Linked DNA regions of Arabidopsis thaliana. The protein of the gene in region 1 purifies or fractionates together with the protein of each later gene. This does not show direct contact. Each region holds a gene or a part of one and is shown on either strand. Other genes may lie near its edges. The genes, in order: AT5G63960 and RFC2.

What was found.
Region 2: the proteins of AT5G63960 (region 1) and RFC2 fractionate together in Arabidopsis thaliana (co-fractionation; one large-scale study listed by BioGRID). This does not show direct contact.

Annotation. Positions count from the first base shown.
Region 1 is NC_003076.8:25,597,803-25,605,753, reverse strand, and holds the start of AT5G63960 (DNA polymerase delta subunit 1), read right to left. Parts: upstream 6,241-7,951; 5' UTR 6,158-6,240; coding exon 5,872-6,157; intron 5,778-5,871; coding exon 5,667-5,777; intron 5,586-5,666; coding exon 5,479-5,585; intron 5,400-5,478; coding exon 5,240-5,399; intron 5,152-5,239; coding exon 4,956-5,151; intron 4,863-4,955; coding exon 4,727-4,862; intron 4,640-4,726; coding exon 4,451-4,639; intron 4,292-4,450; coding exon 4,214-4,291; intron 4,032-4,213; coding exon 3,940-4,031; intron 3,808-3,939; coding exon 3,741-3,807; intron 3,650-3,740; coding exon 3,578-3,649; intron 3,502-3,577; coding exon 3,415-3,501; intron 2,901-3,414; coding exon 2,781-2,900; intron 2,706-2,780; coding exon 2,607-2,705; intron 2,501-2,606; coding exon 2,393-2,500; intron 2,288-2,392; coding exon 2,192-2,287; intron 2,056-2,191; coding exon 1,990-2,055; intron 1,895-1,989; coding exon 1,838-1,894; intron 1,711-1,837; coding exon 1,623-1,710; intron 1,543-1,622; and 12 more. Other genes in the region: CHR24 (chromatin remodeling 24), read left to right, coding at 7,349-7,460, 7,553-7,684, 7,937-7,951. UniProt on the Arabidopsis thaliana protein: This polymerase possesses two enzymatic activities: DNA synthesis (polymerase) and an exonucleolytic activity that degrades single-stranded DNA in the 3'- to 5'-direction.
Region 2 is NC_003070.9:23,421,315-23,426,008, reverse strand, and holds RFC2 (replication factor C 2), read left to right. Parts: upstream 1-2,094; 5' UTR 2,095-2,237; coding exon 2,238-2,399; intron 2,400-2,673; coding exon 2,674-2,780; intron 2,781-2,871; coding exon 2,872-2,973; intron 2,974-3,070; coding exon 3,071-3,266; intron 3,267-3,356; coding exon 3,357-3,485; intron 3,486-3,565; coding exon 3,566-3,760; intron 3,761-3,830; coding exon 3,831-3,941; 3' UTR 3,942-4,175; downstream 4,176-4,694. Other genes in the region: AT1G63170 (Zinc finger, C3HC4 type (RING finger) family protein), read right to left, coding at 1-435. UniProt on the Arabidopsis thaliana protein: May be involved in DNA replication and thus regulate cell proliferation.

The DNA.
Region 1 (7,951 bases):
CTTGACATGAAAACTACCTTGGCACCTTTAGCAGCTTTTATGATAACATACGGTACTCGATCTCCAACATTTGGCGCTGTAGCAGCATCCCTCTGTCACATATGTAAGCAAACACTGTCATATTCACATGATAGATCATCAGACACCGTAAAACAGATCTAAGTTTCAGAGCAACCTTTGTATGATATTATATATTCACCAAAAAGCCGGAAAAAAAATTCATATATTCAGCAAAATTATGCATGACTTAAGAAAAATCCCTGCACTTGTGCAGCTATAAAAAGACGACCAAAGAACCATATTAAAATATTATACAAGCCAAAAATTAAAATTTAATTGTTTAGCACTCCCATTTTTCAGTTTGAGAGTGTCCATGAGATGCTGGAATTAGAGTAAAGGAACGAAAATTCCCCTAGACACATTTGTACATGTTTCTTCACGAACGGAAACGGTCAAGAGTTATCTTAACATGTAATGAAAATGCTTAATCCTGCAAATGATAGACGAAAATAGATAAAGAGTACCACAAACCTTACGCATGCGTTCAGCAAGTTCACCATGAGCTGATTTAACTTCATAATCATCTCCTGTTTTCGTTAGACCCTATGATTTGAGGAAACACATCAGGAGCATTATCCATTTGATTCTTGTTTTAGTTTTAACAGATGGCTTTAATCATTAAAATACACTTTCAGGCGATACAAACATCACAGGACAATAAATCAAGTAAAACATATTACCTTAGTAATCACCAAAAGTGACAAGTCAATACGGTTCATGAGAAGATCCGAAATGGTTTTCTTGACATTTTCAGCTGCCCCTGGAACATCTCTATCAATAAGTATTTTGTTAAGACTCTCAGTCACGAGGTTCTTAACCAGTAAACAATTATCCCTTCGTACTGTCTCGATTCCTGCCAAAGTCGGTGATATTGAAATTTAGTCAGGAAATGAATAAGAGAGAGGCTGTAAAATCACGAAGATTTACCTTTGGTGTCCATTTTGTCAAACTGTTGAGGATTTGTCCATAGCAAACCAGCATACCTCTTCTTGTTAATGAGAAGATATGGGAAATAGACCTTTTCAAACTCCAATTTGATGGGCTTTATGACATCATACACAATCAAGAAACAGAGAACGATTCAGCCTGTTATATTTTGTTTTCAAGAAATCACGTAATCTTGCACCTCTACCCCAAGGATTAGGGAGAACCGGAGAAGTTTAAGACATGCTCCTAGAAAATCACTTACTTTGATAAAAGTTCCACTAATGTGTTCTGCAGCTTCCCTCCCCAAGGTCATCGCAGCTTCTACATCCGATACTCCAAATTGCACCATGACTGAATCCGTGTCTCCATAAATGACCTAATACATCATAGTCCATCAAATTCGAGAAATCTAAGAGCAAACTTAATGATTCACTCAAGTCTTTTCAATACAACGAATAATTCAATGAACATGTACCTCTGCATTGTATTGATACCCTCCCAGTGTTGTGAATTTGTCTTCAACAAGTTTCTTTGTTTGTTCAATCATCTGACGACCTTCAAAAAGATACAAATCCATCAGAACGAACCTAAAAGGCTACGTGTCTAGAAAAGTTGCAGTTTCACAAAAGAAATACCATAGCTAGTTACACTCGAGGATATTTCTAAGCATGGTAACTGCCCAACAGTGGCTCCCGTAAACCCGTAGACAGAATTTGCACTGATCTGAGAAAAAATAGAAAACAAATGTAAAAGAGCAATTTACAGGGAGGATATTGTTCGAAATTTTCCGAGGATTGTAATCATTTTTCTGAATGACCAAGTTAAAGAAGCTGGCAGTAAAGAAGTTCACCTTCAACGCTAACTGTCTACCATCTAAAACAGCCTTCTCAAGGGGATCCTTAGCCTCCTAGATTAGACAATACCAGTTTCAATAGTAGTAGTTAAAGGCTGTATACAGATACGCACACACTGCAAGAGTTTCTTCGGAATCAAATGTTTTACCTTTAAATCTGCTTTAGCTCTCTTACGGGCAGTAAGAAGCTCTTCGAGAATTTCTGGAAGTATACCCTGAAATAAATTATTCATTTTGTTAATAAACTGCTGTCTTCCCTGAATTTATTAATTGGTTGTATTTCCTGAAAGAACTCATTCAACAGAATTTGCGGAACTTGAGGATAATAAAAATCTAACTAAATGCGGAAACCTTTTGCAAAGTTTGCTTAACAAATGTTTCCCCTGATGGAGTTTTAGTGACATGTTCAGGTGGAAGATTCAGTTTGCGTACATCTTCAGGTGTCACCTTCAAAGACAAGAACATGGAAATAATGCTCCCAAATTAATAAGGTGTATAAACAATAGATGATAAAATAAATAGAAATTGAAAAGAAAATATCAAAAGAATTACCAAGGTGCAGTAGCACAGATTATATGCCATCATAATTGACGGGTACAGTGAAGCAAAATCCAAAGTTGCAATTGGCTTTTCATAGAAACCTGTTCTTGCTTCTAAAACCTGAATATCGTTTGACATATCCAAAACAACAAACATGTCGGAACAGTGGAATTAATGCAACCGATAGGCCAAAAGGAAATGTTAGATCCATAAATCACCCACTTACAGTTGCGCCTTCATAAGTTCCTTGTTCGGACCCTGACTGTTTAGCATTTGGAAGAACCAGATTTTTCTGTTTGCCTTTCCTAAGAAGCTGAGATAAAACCTAGAAGCAAAGACACAATATATCAGCCACCTTATTAAACTGAAACACATCCAGAAACTAGAAGTTGAGAACTACCTTGATACTCTGTCCTCTCGCAAGAAGAAATGAAATAGGGACACCAGTTACACGAGCCATTTCGACATAATTATATATAAACATCAGTTTGTCCAGAAGCCTCTGAGGAAGATATGCATCCTGTAACAGAGAAAAGAAACGTGGTGAAGTTGTAGCTTCTTGTAATATTTAGTTGGTTGACTATTAATAGAGAAGCAGCTAAGTTAGTGTCTGAAAATCCTTCCACACATCCTACGAAACACATTATTCCATGTGTCACAAATATCGCCAGCAATTGCCAGAAGTCCTTCAAGCCTACCTCACATCCAGATTCCAGCATGCTCAAAAAAATCATGAATGGACATATGAGCAACCATTTCTATACACCCTTATCTACAAGGTTTCCTCTTGCCACACGTACAAAAATATAAGCAGAGATTACTAAAAAAGTTTTTAAAACACACATCAATGTTCATCTTTTACACTAGAAAGGGTGGGACTTGGGACTCCCATCATAGCTTGGGACAACATGCAATAGGACCTTTAGGTGGTTAGACAAGCTTGATAGCTAGTTAGAAAATCTTAAAGTTATCTAATAACAGGCAATGCATCAGGACATAGACAGCACTACTCCAGAATAAATAAAAGTAGGTACCTTCAAACAATAAACAGCAAGACGCCTCCTGGTTTCCGCATTCCCATTCTGGAGATCAGTTATTATAGAATGGTGGACATCTTCTTTCTGCAGAAGACAATCAGGTTAGCCACATGGAAAGTAGAAATAACCTGAAATTCTAAGCATAATTACTCGGTTTCACCTGCTCGGAAAGAAAGTGAGCTGAGACAGAATTCAGCGAATAAGAACTTAATTTGTGGTCTCTGTGTATTGCCTACAATAATTAAAAGACGAATCAGGTTGATGTTACAAATAAACAATCTAAGAATGACTCAACCAAAATGAATTTGTTAAGGACAAAAAACCTGAATAAGGTCAAACTGAAATCTTCCTTCAATTGTGGTCTCTTTACTTTCTCTTATTCCTTGTTGTCTGAAACATGGCAATATAATATTATAAGATGCGAGTTTAGAGAACTCATGAGGCACAAAAAGCATGAAGCATAACAAAAAAACAATAGAGAAAGCGATGGAAGTTAGCAAGCACCAGTTACTCCTACATCACCTTGATGAAAATGTTGAGTCCCTGACCCGGACCCTACTGTTCTTTACACGACCAAGAAGAGGAAATTCCTCTATTCCCAGTGTAGCAGCTCTCTGAGAATCAGAAAACAGCATATTTTCTAGGTTAAAGATCCATCACATATACATGTGCCATATGACCCAGCGGAGCATAGCATAATATTACATATAGAATGCTATAAGAAAGAAAAACACGCTTCTGCTAACCAGAGGTGATACTGATCCGTCAATAAAAGTAAAATCTAATGTTCAAGTACCTCAATCAGATAAGGTAAATCGAATTTGCAGATGTTATAACCAATGATGATATCAGGATCAACATCACGAATCAAATCCTGCAGCCAATACATCTCATACATCAGCAGAACACATGTTTCACCAAGCCCACAACAAAATTGCAGTAGCAACATAAAGTTTACTAAATCTTTCACTGAGTCCTCCAGGATTTAACAACTGTAATAGAACTTACTTTTGCAAGCAAGGTGCCAAAAAACAGATGAAGAAGAAGTAATGCATATATAATAATGAAGAGGCAAAAACAATACCCTCCAAGCTAGTAAGACCTCTCTTTCTGTTTCAAAAGACATGACATCTACGCCTACGATTGGAGCACATGACTTAAGAGTCATGACATTGCGTACAAATGGGTGATCCTCTCCCTGAAGAGTAACAAGGTTCGCTATCTAGAAAAGCAATGAGAATGTTGTTTCAAGAAGAATGCAAACAAAGGTAACAAAAAGGTATATCAAAAAATGACAAAAACAGCTAACCTGGATTACAGGATCATGCTTAGCTTCCGGAAAATGTCCTTTACGACCTGCACACTCAATATCGAAACTTAGTACACGGAATGGAGCCATTTTTGAGTATTCACCTTCTGCAGCATGACTGATTAGATCTGAGTACCTAAAACCCATGTTAAAGAAAGCACTGGCATAAAATACAATATGTTACTATAAGCATATTATTGTTCCAGAAAAGAAATTCCGATGAGGATACAGGCAATGGAACTCCAATTGGCAGTATGACAAAGTTCTTGCATTTTTCTTATACTTCCCAGTAGGTACTTCAATCCAATTTCCTCCGACAATATCACAATCAACCATGAAACGGAGAACGAAAAGAATATTGCTTTCATATGTCTGGAAGCTCTTCATACCCAATCCATCAATTTGTAGGCCTCTATCAAGGATGCCTACCAATTTAATAATTACAATGACTTTAAATCAGTAAAGGATAAGAGATAGTAGACACATAGCGCACAAATATTTGGGAAGTCATACCGCGACAGCTTGCCACCATAGTCGGCAATGCAACTGTAATCTTCAGAAAAGTTTGGGATTTTTGCTGTTGGTAATACATAATGCTTCTTTTCTGCACCATTTCTATACGTTTAACAAATTTCGGGACCTTGGCATTTTTATTGGATTCCCTCATCCTTCCCTGAATGAATCAGCTGAGCTTTAAAACAAAACCAGCGAGATCAAAGTACAAAATATACAGAGATCTACATAGTAAATACCTCAAGACTCTGATGGAAATTAGAAATATCGTCTGGCCCCATTCCAGGAGGGCAAGCAATGTAAAAGTATGGCTCAAATCCATGAACAAAGCAACACACACTGTTACCTGACAATATACCAGAAACTCAAATCCAACGAAATCGTTCCCCACAAAGAGCAAAAGAAAAAGAGGTTTAAAAACACTCACCTTCTCTGGTAACCCCAAACATCCTAATGATTGGAGCTTGCCCTGAGGAACCCGGTAACAGCTCCTTATGACTCTCCGCGATTATAGAGTCAATCTCCAATTGTTGGAAAACTAAACAAATCAAAATACACAAATCCAAGTGTTGAGAAATTTTCCAGCAATCATAAGATGAAGAAGCCCTTATCAAACTAAGATAGTACTCAACTGATACTCTGTGAATTCGAGAGATACGCGGGGGAGAGCGGAGGTCGAGCCCAAGCCGAGGAACGCGATTCACGCTCCTCAATGTCACGGAGGATTAGGGATTCCTCATCTTCGTCGCCGTACAAGAGAGTTTCGTCCAGAAACACGTCCTCTTCCATCATAAATTCATCATCTAGGGTTCCGATGGCCGGAGATGGTGTTGAATCACCAGTGGCTCGATGCTTACCCGCCGGTGGTGGGGTATTCGAAGGAGGCGGTCGCTTTTTGGAAATACCGGATCTATTCATGGCTTTGGGTGAGCGGGAAAAGAAGAGAATGTGTGTGATTTTGTGAGCTCGTGGAGGTCTGAGAGAAGTAGAAAGTGAGACTATACACCACTCCGATTCCCGCCAGTTTTAAGGGTTTTGCTATTAGAGATTTGATGTCAATGTGAAGTTTTTTAAGGAACTTTTCTTTAAGTCCCTAGACAATGCTATTATTAACCAAATCGTTACGGACTTTTTCTTATTGTGGTTGCAATTATTTTGAATTAAAATATATTTTGTCGGATGACCAATGTTTAAGACTTTTAAGTGCTTATACGAAGTTTTGATTGCTAAAAAAAACGAATAATTGTAGATCAAAAGAGACAACCTTATAATAGAGTTCGATCGTGATACACATAGAATCGTTCATTGTTCATTTGATCTACAATTATAAGAGAATTCGACCTCTCTTTAATTATTTTATTTTTAGTATATCAGGATTCATGACCAAGACAATTAGGCAAGTGATGGTACACTTGGTAGCTAACTAGCTAAGGTTGATGCCGCATTTCATAATGGAACTTGGTTTATGTTGGAAGCAGAACTCGAACATGTCGAGCATCTTCAAATCAATAGAGTCTCCAAACTCTTGCAGCAAATTTTGTTGTACTGTATATGGAAGGAGCCAAGTATTTACCAAGGTAGTAAGTAATGAACCCTCCACGTCCACGAGCTCACAATTTCACACATTCTCTTCCTTTTCCCGATCATCCAAAGCCATGAATAGAGCCGGAAATTCCAAAAAGCGACCGCCTCCATCAAACCGTCATTTTTTGGTTCCATCATGAGATATTGAACAAATTATTACTTGTATTATCTGAAATGACTTGTAATATCTGAAATGACTTGTAAAAAAAGTGTACCACATCGGATGTTCTTGTTACTAAACAATTCAGACCAACGCAAAAAATATTATACTATTATATCTGACCAAAAAGGAAATAAAATCATATTTTGTTGTATTGTAGGTTAAATGTGAGAGAGAGAGAGAGAGAGAGAGCGCACAAGAGCCATTTGTCTCGGAACTGAGAAATCTTCAAAATTCAAAAAAGCCAAGGAAGGCGGGATTCCAAACATTCTCTTCATCATCTTCTTCTTCTTCTCACTCTTCTCTCCATTTATCACAATCGATCATCGGGAAACACAAACTCATCTCCAGAAAACGGTGTAGCAATGGCGGAAAATACGGCCAGCCATAGAAGAAAACCTCGGAGCTTGAACGATCGTCACTACAGTATCCTCCAGGATCTTTCTGCGCCTCCTAGACAGCCTCCCTCTTCTTCTCGTACGATTGTTCTCTTCTATCGTTTCTCTATGGTTTCGGATTCGTATCTGTCTTTGATTTTGAGTTTTATTTATTATATTTGGGGACTTCAGATGGAGAAGATGAAGAGACGAAGAAGTCCATGATTAAGCTTGCTGGACGACGTCGTCTTTGCAAGGCCTTGCCAAAGGAAGACGAAGCTGATGGATATGACGATCCTGATTTGGTTGATTTCTATTCCCCAGGTAATTTTGAGATTTCACCCGATTTTAGGGTTTTCGCAAACCCATGTCTCTTAGTTTACAGAAAGAAATTGGTGTTTCCGTTGATGATGTATTTCAATTTTGTCCTAGTAGCTTACTTTGAAATTAGGGTTTCTTCGAAATCTGAGTTTCTAGTCTGGTGTTTGATTTTCGGTCTTTATAGCTGTTATTATACTGCGTTTTGTCAGATAACTTTACTTGAATACGTTTGTTTTTGCATGATGCTCTAATCAGTTAAAGGAGAGACAT
Region 2 (4,694 bases), on another chromosome or scaffold:
AGAAGAGCTAGATCTTGGACTCAAATCTCTTCTTCTTCTACTATTCCTCCTACGATACTCAACACAAACACAAACCATATGCATCATACATTGCAACCCATACCCAATAATCCAAACCCTAAGAGGCATATTCGGATTCTCATCGCTGCTAAGTACCAAAACAGCTGTAGCAACAACGACAAAAGCAAGATTCCAAACGAAATCCAAAACCACTACAGGTTTCGAATAAGCCCAATCGCTTTGTCTCTCTTCAAGCTGCTCAGCCGCAGCTTCACGAACAAGCATCGATGGCTCTCTCATCATCATTCTCCCGCTACTTGCATGTCTTAGTAACCTCGCCGCTTCTCTTAACCCTTGTCTTCTCACCGATCTCCTTCCTCCTCCTCCGTCGGTTAAAATCAAAGGCGTTGCTTCCGTCGTCGTCTCTCTTGACATTTTGCTTTCTCTTTTCAAAGTTTCTTCCTTTCTTCGAAATTTCAAAAATTGATATCGAATTGATGAAATTGGTGAAGCTTTACGCCATTAAATTGGGGCAATTTCAATCTCAGAGACAATTTCGGATTTGTTAGGGTTTCGATTCGAACAGAGAGAGAGAGAGACAGAAAGAGAAAGAAGATGATGAGTCGGACAAATCGGGAAACGTGATGTTTGAAAAATGAATATAAAAAATCAAAATTGTAATGAATTTAATGTCTCCTCAAATGACAACCAGAGAAATTAGGGGACATATATGTAATATTCAGTTTTTTCAGTGGCTATATGGTAAACTTACACTAACTTGATTCAAATTAAGGGTGGGTAAGAAACTGAACCAAACCATATTAAACCGAAATTTATTCTTTTGTCCAACTGAGTAAAAAATTAACAAAAATTCGAAAAATTTTAAGCATAATTTTTAATCGAAAACCGGAATAAATCTAAATTAAACTCAAATCCAAATTGAAAATTTTTAATCGAAAAAATTATAGTTTATACGACATCTATTTAGGGAACAAACCCAAAAAAAAACTCAACTAATTTTTATTTGGACGTTTAATACCCAATTGTTTTTGGTTGGAAGGTAAATACACGAAGTAATAAAACCGTGCAATTTAATACACAAACAAGTAATTGTTGTTATTTTCATACTCACGATCTCACAACAAAAATAAAATTCCAATTTTACCCTTACCATCTCAATTAATTATTAATTTTTTTATAATATAATATTAAATTTTATAATTTTGAATAAAAAATAATTTTATTAACATTTTAGTTTATGGTCTCTAATTTTTATTATTATTATATTATTCTAAAATTTAACATAAAAATTATAGAAAATTAAAAATATTTTAAAATGGCCGGTAAATATTCTTCGTAGTGAGAAACTCTCTTTTCGATTGTATATCCTTCAAGAATCAAACTATTTTCGACAAAATCTCAACCCGAATCTCATCGTATTTCTCAAGATTTATCAATTCATAAAAATGGCTAATTTTGTTTTTAGTAGCAAAATAGCTAACCTCAACCCAAATCTCAACGAATTAGATTAATCTTTGATTCTAAATTTCCTTAAAGAGAAAACGATTCTTTGATATTGCAACGATAGAAGAAGATTGTAATAATGACTATTTTAAAATATTTTTGATTTTCTATAATTTTTATGTTAAATTTTAGAATAATATAATAATAATAAAAATGAAAATTTAAATTTTAGAGACCATAAACTAAAATGTTAATAAAATTAATTTTTATTTAAAATTATATAATTAATATTATATTATCAAAAAATAATAGTTAATTGAGATGGTAAGAGTAAAATTGGAATTTTATTTTTGTTGTGAGATCGTGAGTATGAAAATAACAACAATTAATTATTTGTGTATTAAATTGTATGATTTTATTATTTCGTGTATTTACTTTCCAACCAAAAACAATTGAGTATTAAACGTCCAAATAAAAATTAATTGAGGTTTGTTTTGGTTTTTTTTCCCATCTATTTATAATAAAATAGACCAATTTTAAATTTATCGAACCGAACTGGGCATAAATGTAACAACGAGTTTTAAAAGGCGGGGCTATATAGTGAAATTAATATACTTTGGGTACAGAATTCGGATGTTTTCTTTTTATAGGCCCTTTAATGAAATGATTGTATAAAAGTAAAACCCTTAATCGGATCCTCCAGCAATTTTCCCTCCAAACCAGAAAACCCTCCAAATCTCACCGGTCGGAGATTCCTTCTCTTCCGACTGATAATGGCGTCTTCTTCATCAACCTCTACCGGTGACGGATACAATGAACCATGGGTGGAGAAATACAGGCCGAGCAAAGTAGTCGATATCGTTGGAAACGAAGACGCCGTCTCCAGACTTCAAGTCATTGCTCGCGACGGCAACATGCCTAATCTTATCCTTTCCGTAAGATTTTACTCTTCTGTTGACACTCTTTGATTTAAACCCTCCTCGAATTTGCTAAAAAGTTTTAGGTTTGATGAAAACTTGATCAATTAGGGCATTTTGGGTTTGTTTACTGTGTAGATTTCATGATAAAGCTTAGATTTTGAGGGTTTTTAATCAATTTCTATTGTCTGCCAAAGTTAATGAAGGTTTGATTTTTAGAAAATCTCTGTGTTTAGTATTACTTGTGGAGATTTGATATATGATTTTGTGTTGTTTGGTTGTATATCCTTAGGGTCCTCCTGGAACAGGTAAAACCACAAGCATTTTGGCTCTTGCTCATGAGCTCCTTGGCACGAATTACAAGGAGGCTGTTCTGGAGTTGAATGCATCTGATGATAGGTATGTGATGCCAATCTTTTACCTATGGGATGTTGTTCTATCTTCAATCGTTGTTTGGTTAGACATCTTCAATGTTCTGTTATGTTTGTAGGGGTATTGATGTTGTAAGGAACAAAATTAAGATGTTTGCGCAGAAGAAAGTAACACTTCCTCCAGGGCGTCATAAGGTTGTTATCCTAGATGAAGCTGACAGGTTAGTGACTTTTACTTGAGTATTCCTTCTCAAGTTGAATTGTTCCAGTTAAGTGTTTTTTTTTCTGACTTTCTGTTTTCGGTTTCTAAAAAACTAGTATGACATCTGGAGCACAACAAGCATTGAGGAGAACGATTGAAATCTATTCGAACTCTACGCGGTTTGCACTTGCTTGTAATACATCAGCCAAGATTATTGAGCCCATTCAGAGTAGATGTGCCTTAGTTCGATTCTCTAGATTATCTGATCAGCAGATACTAGGCCGTCTCTTGGTGGTGGTTGCAGCAGAGAAAGTACGGATTTGCCACTTTTCTTTCATTCGACATGTTTACTTACTGCAATTTTGAAAATTTTCTAATTGCTTATGTTTTCAATCTCTCAAGGTTCCGTATGTGCCTGAAGGCCTTGAGGCGATAATCTTTACAGCTGATGGTGACATGAGGCAAGCTCTGAACAACTTGCAAGCCACATTCAGCGGGTTTTCGTTTGTCAACCAAGAAAACGTCTTCAAGGTTTGAAACAAAACCTTAATTCACTTTGGCTTATAAAACACATTGGTTTCATATCATCAATCAAAGATCTCTTCACTTAGGTCTGTGACCAGCCTCACCCGCTTCATGTCAAGAACATTGTTCGCAATGTGTTGGAAAGTAAGTTTGACATCGCCTGTGACGGCTTAAAGCAGCTCTATGATTTGGGCTACTCTCCAACCGACATTATCACAACGCTTTTCCGTATAATAAAGAATTACGATATGGCTGAGTATCTGAAACTTGAGTTCATGAAGGTATACATCTGATTCTCCTTGACAGCTCAAAACATCCAAACTTTCGTCTAACACCAATGCTTTTCTTCAGGAAACTGGATTTGCGCATATGAGAATCTGTGATGGAGTTGGATCTTATCTTCAGCTATGTGGTCTTCTGGCTAAGTTATCCATTGTTCGTGAAACAGCGAAAGCACCTTAAGTTAGGTAACTTCCACTCATCTCTAGTGATGAACTGGTGGCCGGTCTATGTTTAAACCAAGTTGGTTAAATCTCGTTGTTTGAGAATTCGGATAGATGTTGGAACTTCCATGCTGTATTGCTCTGTTTTCTAGATTTGAATTGCTTGTGAATGTTTCTGAATATTAAGCTTAATCCTAACCAGTTTGGTATACCAACACATTTTTTTATATAATACCATGCTATTTGTTTAAATCACATAAATGAAAAAAACAATACACAGATTATTTTACACATTACAACCACTCTATATAGTCTACGCAAGTGCGAGAGATGAATCGTAATTTTTGTAGGTAAAATGTTGAACCTATTTGTGTAATTCGATAACACTATATGAGTAAGGCATGACATTGTGAAATGGTGTAAACTCTTGGTCTGTTACATTGACTTTATATTATGAATAAACACACTTGTGACCAAAAAAAAGAAAAAAGAACTGGGAACAAGAAACGAAATAAAGTTATATTTATTGAACCAAAACTATAAAATACGTTTGGTTAAAAACCAAATCTACTACAGTAACCATAATGATGACACGTCTGAAATCTTCTTCTGTAGCTCGTGTGTGTTAACCTAACATTGAAATACACAAAACAACGTATCAGAGTCATCTTCATGAAGCTTACAGACACGATAACAACTAAATACACACCATGTAACATAAGGACTCTGTTGCGAAAAATATCAGAGTAAAGCAACATGATTCACCTCAGAC